Saccharomyces cerevisiae S288C: one gene and its partner. The protein of the gene in region 2 interacts with the protein of the main gene of each other region in a biochemical or structural test. Each region holds a gene or a part of one and is shown on either strand. Other genes may lie near its edges.

Region 1 (3,498 bases), on a different chromosome or scaffold from region 2:
CTTCAAGGTGATAACTATGAAACTGTTTTGACCTTGACGTGTAAAGTGATCAAGGTAATAGTTAAACTTTATATATGTTGTTTATCAATGTGGTATCCTTTCTAAGGATGAAGACAACACGATTGTGACAGTGTGAGAGAGTGATAAAGCATTGGAGGCAGGCAAAACAAGAACATGGGGTTTCTTTCGGATCATCCGCATACAGCTATCACCGAGACGATCTTTCGAATTGTCTCTTCAAGGGACTATACGCTAGAAGTGGAGTTAGCTCCCTTGATTCAGCTTATCAAAGCAGATCACAACGATTATAACTATACCGTGAACCAAGAAGAAGCTGCGCGAGCACTTAGAAAGAAAATAAAGTATGGGAACCGGCTGCAGCAGTCCAGGACTCTGGACCTCTTGGATCTGTTCATCTCACAAGGCGTGAAGTTTACAGTCATGTACAATGATGACAAGCTGCTGCAAAGGCTGAGAGGGATGGCTACGAACTCTGAAAACAGCGGGTCCGGTGAAAAGTATGAGCCTAGGATTATTAAGAAGTGCGCGGCGTATGCTATCTCGTGGCTAAACTATATTACGCAGAACAACCTTGAGAATGCGAGGGCGTATTCAGGTCTTTATCAATTGGGTCAAACAGTCAAACAGAGGTACTCGAAGAGCAGCCGTTCCCGCCGTAGCGGCGGAGGCTCTGGCGGACGGTCTAACTTCATGGATGATAGCGCCGACGACACTTTGTACCAGTCCAACTCGCTGACTAGTGCCGATAGATTGTATAGGATTCCACAGATCAACATGAACAAAGAGGCACCCAGGATTCGGCTCATAATCAGCGATGCTCTCGCGTCTGCTGTGTCGTTACAGAACTCGCTGATCGGGCTGCCCAAGGGCAAGTTCTCCACAGACGATGAAGAGGCCACGTCCAAGTTCATCCAGGCAAGGGCGATCAGAAGGAAAGTTCTTAGATATCTGCAATTGGTCACGGAGGGTGAGTTTCTGGGTAGCTTAATTCATGCCAATGATGAACTGGTGGCTGCGTTGACTGCATACGACGACCGAAGCGCTCAGGACGATAGCAGCGATGAAAGTGATCACGGCTCGTACGATGACGGTATTTATGATGAAAACGAGCAGGATAACAGCAGGTATATTGATAGCGAGTCCTCAGAGGAAGAGAGCTTGTCTTCTTATCAGCCGTCCACGATCTCAAACCCTTTCGGTGATCATAACAAAATTTGAAGAAGTATGTACGTATGCATACACACATATATATATATATATATATAGTACATTTAATCCTTCTTGAGGTTTAAAGACGCACTGTTCACACAGTGTCTGGTGTCCTTGGGCAAGTTTAGCAACTGTTTCCAGCCTTCACCTTCAAACACATGTCCCAAGTGTCCACCACACCTTGCACAACATATCTCCACCCTCGCAGGCATTAAAGAATTGTCACGATGATATGTGATGGCTCCAGGGGATACCTCTTCGTAGAATGCGGGCCATCCACAACGAGCGTCGAACTTGGCCTTGCTCGAATACAACGGTCTGTCGCAGTTGGCACAATGGTAGACACCGGACTCGTTGGTGTGTAAATACGCACCGGTGTTGGGCCTTTCAGTGGCCTTATCTCTCAGCACCATCAGCTGCAATGGTGTCAGGGCATCGTTCCACTTCACGTCATTCGATTCGTCACTCATTTTCTTGCTCTTATTCCAGTACTGCGTCAGTACAATGTTTCTTCTCCCTGGAAAAGTCCTGCGTACAGTTATAACGTACAGCCTGCTCCACTTATTCATTTTTTGATATTGCTTCCTTTCTCCCTTTATTTAAACTATCATCGGCGACATATTTCCCAATAGGCAAAGCTGAAAAATACTATCGCTAATTATAACAAAGAAGCTAGGTCGAAGGACTCGAAAAGACAGAGGTCGTACTAGCAGAGATAGCAAATCAGATGGAGGACGGTAAACAGGCCATCAATGAGGGATCAAACGATGCTTCGCCGGATCTGGACGTGAATGGCACAATATTGATGAATAATGAAGACTTTTCCCAGTGGTCGGTTGATGATGTGATAACTTGGTGTATATCCACGCTGGAGGTGGAAGAAACCGATCCATTATGTCAGAGACTGCGAGAAAATGATATTGTAGGAGATCTTTTGCCGGAATTGTGCTTGCAAGATTGCCAGGACTTGTGTGACGGTGATTTGAATAAGGCCATAAAATTCAAGATACTGATCAATAAGATGAGAGACAGCAAGTTGGAGTGGAAGGACGACAAGACTCAAGAGGACATGATAACGGTACTGAAAAACTTGTACACTACTACATCTGCGAAATTGCAAGAATTTCAATCGCAGTACACAAGGCTGAGGATGGATGTCTTGGACGTAATGAAGACCAGCTCAAGCTCTTCTCCGATTAACACACATGGAGTGTCCACTACGGTACCTTCTTCAAACAACACAATTATACCCAGTAGTGACGGTGTGTCTCTTTCACAAACAGACTATTTCGACACAGTTCATAACCGACAATCACCGTCAAGGAGAGAATCCCCGGTAACGGTATTTAGGCAACCCAGTCTTTCCCACTCAAAATCTTTGCACAAGGATAGCAAAAACAAAGTACCCCAAATATCTACAAACCAATCTCACCCATCTGCCGTTTCAACAGCGAACACACCGGGGCCATCACCTAACGAGGCGTTAAAACAGTTGCGTGCATCTAAAGAAGACTCCTGCGAACGGATCTTGAAAAACGCAATGAAAAGACATAACTTAGCAGATCAGGATTGGAGACAATATGTCTTGGTCATTTGCTATGGGGATCAAGAGAGGCTGTTAGAATTGAACGAAAAGCCTGTGATCATATTCAAGAACTTAAAGCAACAGGGTTTGCACCCCGCCATTATGTTAAGAAGAAGAGGTGATTTCGAAGAAGTAGCAATGATGAACGGAAGTGACAATGTCACCCCCGGTGGAAGACTCTAATGTGCAGTTGTCATGCACATCATCATACTAAACTTACACGAATAGGATAACATGTATGCTAGCAGAATATATATGAAAGAAAAAAATTATTGATGCCTTTAAACTTATACTATTATACTATATTATGTTATATTATATTATTAGTTTTATAGATATATTGAGATATGTTGAATATGATGACGAGGATGGTGGTTTAAGTGTATGGATTGAATTTTCTCTTAGCTTTCATTACCTTGATTCTTTCTTGATCTTCCTTAAATTTACTTAACAGTTGATTGATCTCCTGTTTTTTACGTTCTCTGACCTGAAATCTATAGAAATCTTTCTTTGCCTTTTTATCTATATTTGAAATTGGCTTGGCCTTATTTTCATGTTTGGATAATGGATTTTTGTTTAATATTTTCTTTCTTATGGAATTCAATGACTTGGTGTTCTTTCCTACAACTAATGTGAATCCATCCTCATCCACTATAGAACTTTGAACATCCTCTTGTGCTTGA
Region 2 (4,622 bases):
TACAGGCGAATTGTGGTCCCCATAAAAACAAGCATTTTTCAAATATTTCAATATCATTTTTGATAGATGGCTTTATCTTATGAGAAAAATTGGTAACAGATTATTCATGTGAATGAAACTCTATGGATTATTTCCTTGCTTTTGTCTATCTACCTCCTTTTCCTAGAGCAGGTTATTGAGAAGATATCAATGGTTTGATATCACCTCGCAAAGAAAGGCCTGTTTCTTCGTGCTTCCATCTGTGCGGTCGGATTTTTTTATCAGAATTATCTTACTTGATTTTATTCCAGGGGTATGAGAATCAAATACCGTCATCTAGTTTGGTCTTTTTTTCACAATTGTGATTTATGATTACTTAATCAGCGTAATTGAAAAAAAAAAACCGGTAAATAGCAGATATATTCAATAAATGTCACTAAATATGATATATATGTATTATTTGATAAAAAATCGGCCAGAGCACTTTAGTGCCATAAAAAGAATTAATAAGTAGCCCTTTTTCAAATTATGTGTGCATCCAGCCATGGATGCTGCAGCAATTCAAGGGCACTAGGCCTGTATTGATAATCCAACTCAAATGCCTTTCTTAAGAAATTCTTTCCTTCTGACGTAGCCCAGGAAGGTATCTCGGGGGTCGTGTTTGTGCCTATTTTGAAGATCGCTTGCATTTGAGAAAAATCTGGGAAAGGATGCTTACCGGTAAACATTTCAATGACAACACATCCTGTAGACCATATATCCGCTTTAGCAGTAGTAGCGGTCTGTTTGACCACCTCTGGTGACATCCAGAATACGGAACCTTGCAAAGAAGCTCTCTTATTTTGTTTTTTATTCAAAGGTGATAATTTTTTTGAAATACCAAAATCAGTAATTTTTACGCAACCTTTGATATCAATCAAAATATTTGCACCCTTGATATCTCTGTGAATAATGTTCTTCTTATGCAAATACGCAACCCCAATCAGTATTTGCCTAGTGAAATTAGTAATCAGTGATTCCTCAAATGGACCGTAATTATTCAGCATGGAGGAAACCGAACCCCCAGGAACGTATTCAAGAAAAATATTTAAATTTCCGCCTTCTTGAGAAGCACCATAATAAGTAACAATGTTCTCATGATGTAACTCCTTCAATAAATTCATTTCATGCTGTAAAGCATCAACCATCTTTCTGTGAATATTTTGATTGGTTTTTGGATGACTTACCGCCCCAACATCTTCTATTTTCTCTTGTTGTTCCTCCTGCTCATTATTCTCATCAGAATTGGCTTGTTTATTGTTGTCTGTGGGAACACCAATGTTATTATTTTTTATCTCCACTTGCTTTACTGCCATTAGTTCACCAGTGTGAGCATTCATGCCCAAGTAAACACTCCCAAAACTGCCTGATCCAATGCAAGCACCTTTTAACCAATTCTTGGGCGTGGCAATTTTCGTCGGTAATGAAACAATGTCACTGTCCTCCCCAAAGAAATCGTGATCTTCTTCTTCACCAGACTCTACACTTAATAGTTCTAACTGGTTAGATATGGCATCATTATCTTCTGGCCTTTTATGGGCAAGCTTCGGAATTTTAGTTGTGTCAAGTTTACTGCTTAATCTTGTCTGATCTAATCCTTGTAATAGGGCCATATCAACAGCGTTTGAGTGTTTCAATAGTATGTCACCGATATTATTTGATTCTGCACTTAAAGGTCTTCTTTGAGCAATGCTTAGCCTTGCTGAATGGCGAAATGACTCTCTCATCGTCTTTTGCAACCGCTTCATGTCTGTATGAGGAAAATATCCGGCCAAATTGGTAGAAATAAATTCGCTAGGAGGCCTCTGATTAAAAATCTGTCTAATTCTGTCCTTTTCTGTGTTGTCGATCCGGAGTTTCCCTTCAGCATTGTTATGCGAAATCCCCTTGTTCTGTGCCAACAAATTTGACGAGGATGGCCCAACCTGGCTCAATGCACTCAACGTTCTTAGATATAGTTTTTTGGATGTGGATATAGCTTTATCACTTGGTGTTTGGTCTTTGGAAACAAAAATTAGCCTATTTTTCTCAACACGATCATTTGCGTGGCAAATAGTGACTAATTCCACGTCATATAGCAAATGCAGTACGTTCTTGGTATAATCTAAGACAAACACATCATAATCTTGGACCATTTTAGTTACTTCTCCATTGGAGTTTGTGGCTAATAATTCATGTGGCAATCTTCTGATTAGCCTTTTCTTAATAGAATCTGCATTAAAGCAACCATTTACATTAACTTTCTTAGCGGAACCATCGTTTAAGATAAATATAACACAGTGCTTTTCAGGAATCAATTCTGAATTCATCGATAGCGTAGCAGTGGATAGAGAGCTTACTTTTTCCATCAGGTTTTTCAATCTATTCACCTGTTCAATCCGTTTATCTCTCTGGAACGATTTTGACTTCCTTAAAATTTTGAGTCTGTCTCCTATTTTGTTTACACCCAAAGCAATGAGGATATCCTTGTCGAGATACTTAATTTCTTCTTCTGTGACAAGGTTGCACTGAATAAAGCTATCCAGGTATTGAGTGCATCCTATTTCCTCCAGAAATAACTGCACAAAAGGTAAATCGTTGGTCTTTTCGTCACCAATTAGTAAGTCAGTGCCCTCTGCTGTTTGTGTCTGTTCCATGTATATTTCGTCTACCGGTGATCTTATCATACTAGCTTTATTAAGTGGTCTCTCTTTATGCATGTGTGTAAATATGAATATTTTCTACTGTTTAAAGCCATCGCGGCGAAAGCTTTACACCTTAAAAGGCTTTTAATGCTAGCCTGATAACGAAAGGCATGGTGAGGACAGCATAAAGAAACTATAATGGCAGTTAGTAATAATAATAATAATAATAATAGTAAAGAACGCACCCAAAATATAAAAGAAGTGGAGGAAAAGTTGGGCGAGAATCCAAAGATTACTTTAAAAGGGGGAGGGAAAACTAAAATCATGGATTTTGAACAGTTACGCAAGCCCCATTGCGTAAGACCCAGTGCAAGATTTCCAGTTGAAGATACTGCCGGTGGTTTATTGAGAACGGGTGGCCACAGGCCTCAGATAAGTGATGAAGAAGTCTCTAAAAGGCACCATGAACAGTCTCATGGACAAGAAGATCATTAATAGTATTGTATATAGGACTTGCTCAGTTATATTTCATTTCTATTTCATAAGCTAGAAGGCTAACTTGTATAAAGCTGCGCAGAAAGTGTTTCCATTTTACGTATATTTAGATTTATATTTTGCCTTAGGTGCTTTTTGAATTTCAAATGGTTTAGTGTTGATCTTTTTCAAAAATTAATCTTTTTAGATCGCAGATACCTCTGATACAAGTTTTATACTTAAGTATCGAAGACCAGCACCGTGGTTAAAAATCTTAACATGATCCGGTTACCGAGGCTGTATCAAAGGTACCTATTATACTTGGTAGTTTTTGTAGTGATTGCCCTATTTTACTTCCTACAGGCGCCAAGAGTTGAAGAGCACATTGGTTTCGACCTTGCACTCCCGATATCACACGTTGATAATCTATGGTTCCAAAATAAAGGTCTAGAGGGATTCTCAAATGACGATAAGCTAGTTGTAAATATAGGCTATGACGAATGTTTTCATATTGGTCGTTTTTATGAAGGATGTTTTAATCGGCATGAACTTAAATCAACTTTAACTGATGGGCACCAATACTTACAAAGGAAAAGAATTCATAAAGACTTGAGAGGTTCCTTTGGACGCAGGTGGTTTGGAAAGTCAGAATACCTTTACTATGATGTGTTATACCCTGCTTTGGTGGACTACTTTGGATCCAACCTAGAAAAGCTAAATGTTGAGGCAGTAACTGGAATTTCCAAATATCCTAAAGACAAATCGCTACCCTTTATGGATGTATCCATCACATTCGAGCCTATTAGCATAGAACTATTGCAGAAAAGGAGCTACATAAGCGATATTAACATTCTCTTTGGTGTTGATTGCATCCAGCCGATAGCAAATTGGACTCTTCAAAAAGAATTTCCCTTAGTAAAATACCGCTACAGCGAACCTGCTTATTTGACTTACAAATTCGTTGGTACTCGTCCTGTAGACACAGGAGCTCAACGGCTGCAAGAAACTGATGAAGGAAAGTTCAAAATTGTTCAGTTGGCGGATCTCCACTTGGGTGTGGGGGAGTCTGAATGTATCGATGAGTATCCAAAGCATGAAGCTTGCAAGGCAGATCCAAAAACGGAAACTTTCGTTCAACAAGTTCTTGACATTGAAAAACCGCAGTTGGTTGTTTTTACTGGTGACCAAATCATGGGTGATAGATCTATTCAAGACTCTGAAACCGTATTATTAAAGGCGGTAGCACCCGTCATTGCAAGAAAAATTCCGTGGGCAATGGTATGGGGAAATCACGACGACGAGGGAAGCTTAACGCGCTGGCAGTTATCCGAAATAGCTTCAGTACTACCATATTCCCTTTTCAAGTTTAGTCCCCATGATACACACGATAATACGTTTGGCGTTGGTAATTATATTTATCAGATTTTTTCGAACAATGATACAGAAGTCCCAGTAGGTACACTTTATTTTCTGGACTCACATAAATATTCTACGGTTGGTAAAATT

What was found.
Region 1: the proteins of STE11 (region 2) and STE50 form a complex in vitro, tested with the Saccharomyces cerevisiae proteins (11 studies listed by BioGRID, with this or other methods).

Annotation. Positions count from the first base shown.
Region 1 is NC_001135.5:61,484-64,981, forward strand, and holds STE50 (Ste50p), read left to right. Parts: upstream 1-1,957; coding exon 1,958-2,998; downstream 2,999-3,498. Other genes in the region: LSB5 (Lsb5p), read left to right, coding at 175-1,239; MXR2 (peptide-methionine (R)-S-oxide reductase), read right to left, coding at 1,293-1,799; RRP7 (Rrp7p), read right to left, coding at 3,192-3,498.
Region 2 is NC_001144.5:847,898-852,519, reverse strand, and holds STE11 (mitogen-activated protein kinase kinase kinase STE11), read right to left. Parts: upstream 2,655-4,622; coding exon 501-2,654; downstream 1-500. Other genes in the region: NMD4 (Nmd4p), read left to right, coding at 1-25; YLR361C-A (uncharacterized protein), read left to right, coding at 2,841-3,137; DCR2 (phosphoprotein phosphatase), read left to right, coding at 3,396-4,622. UniProt on the Saccharomyces cerevisiae protein: Serine/threonine protein kinase required for cell-type-specific transcription and signal transduction in yeast. It is thought that it phosphorylates the STE7 protein kinase which itself, phosphorylates the FUS3 and or KSS1 kinases.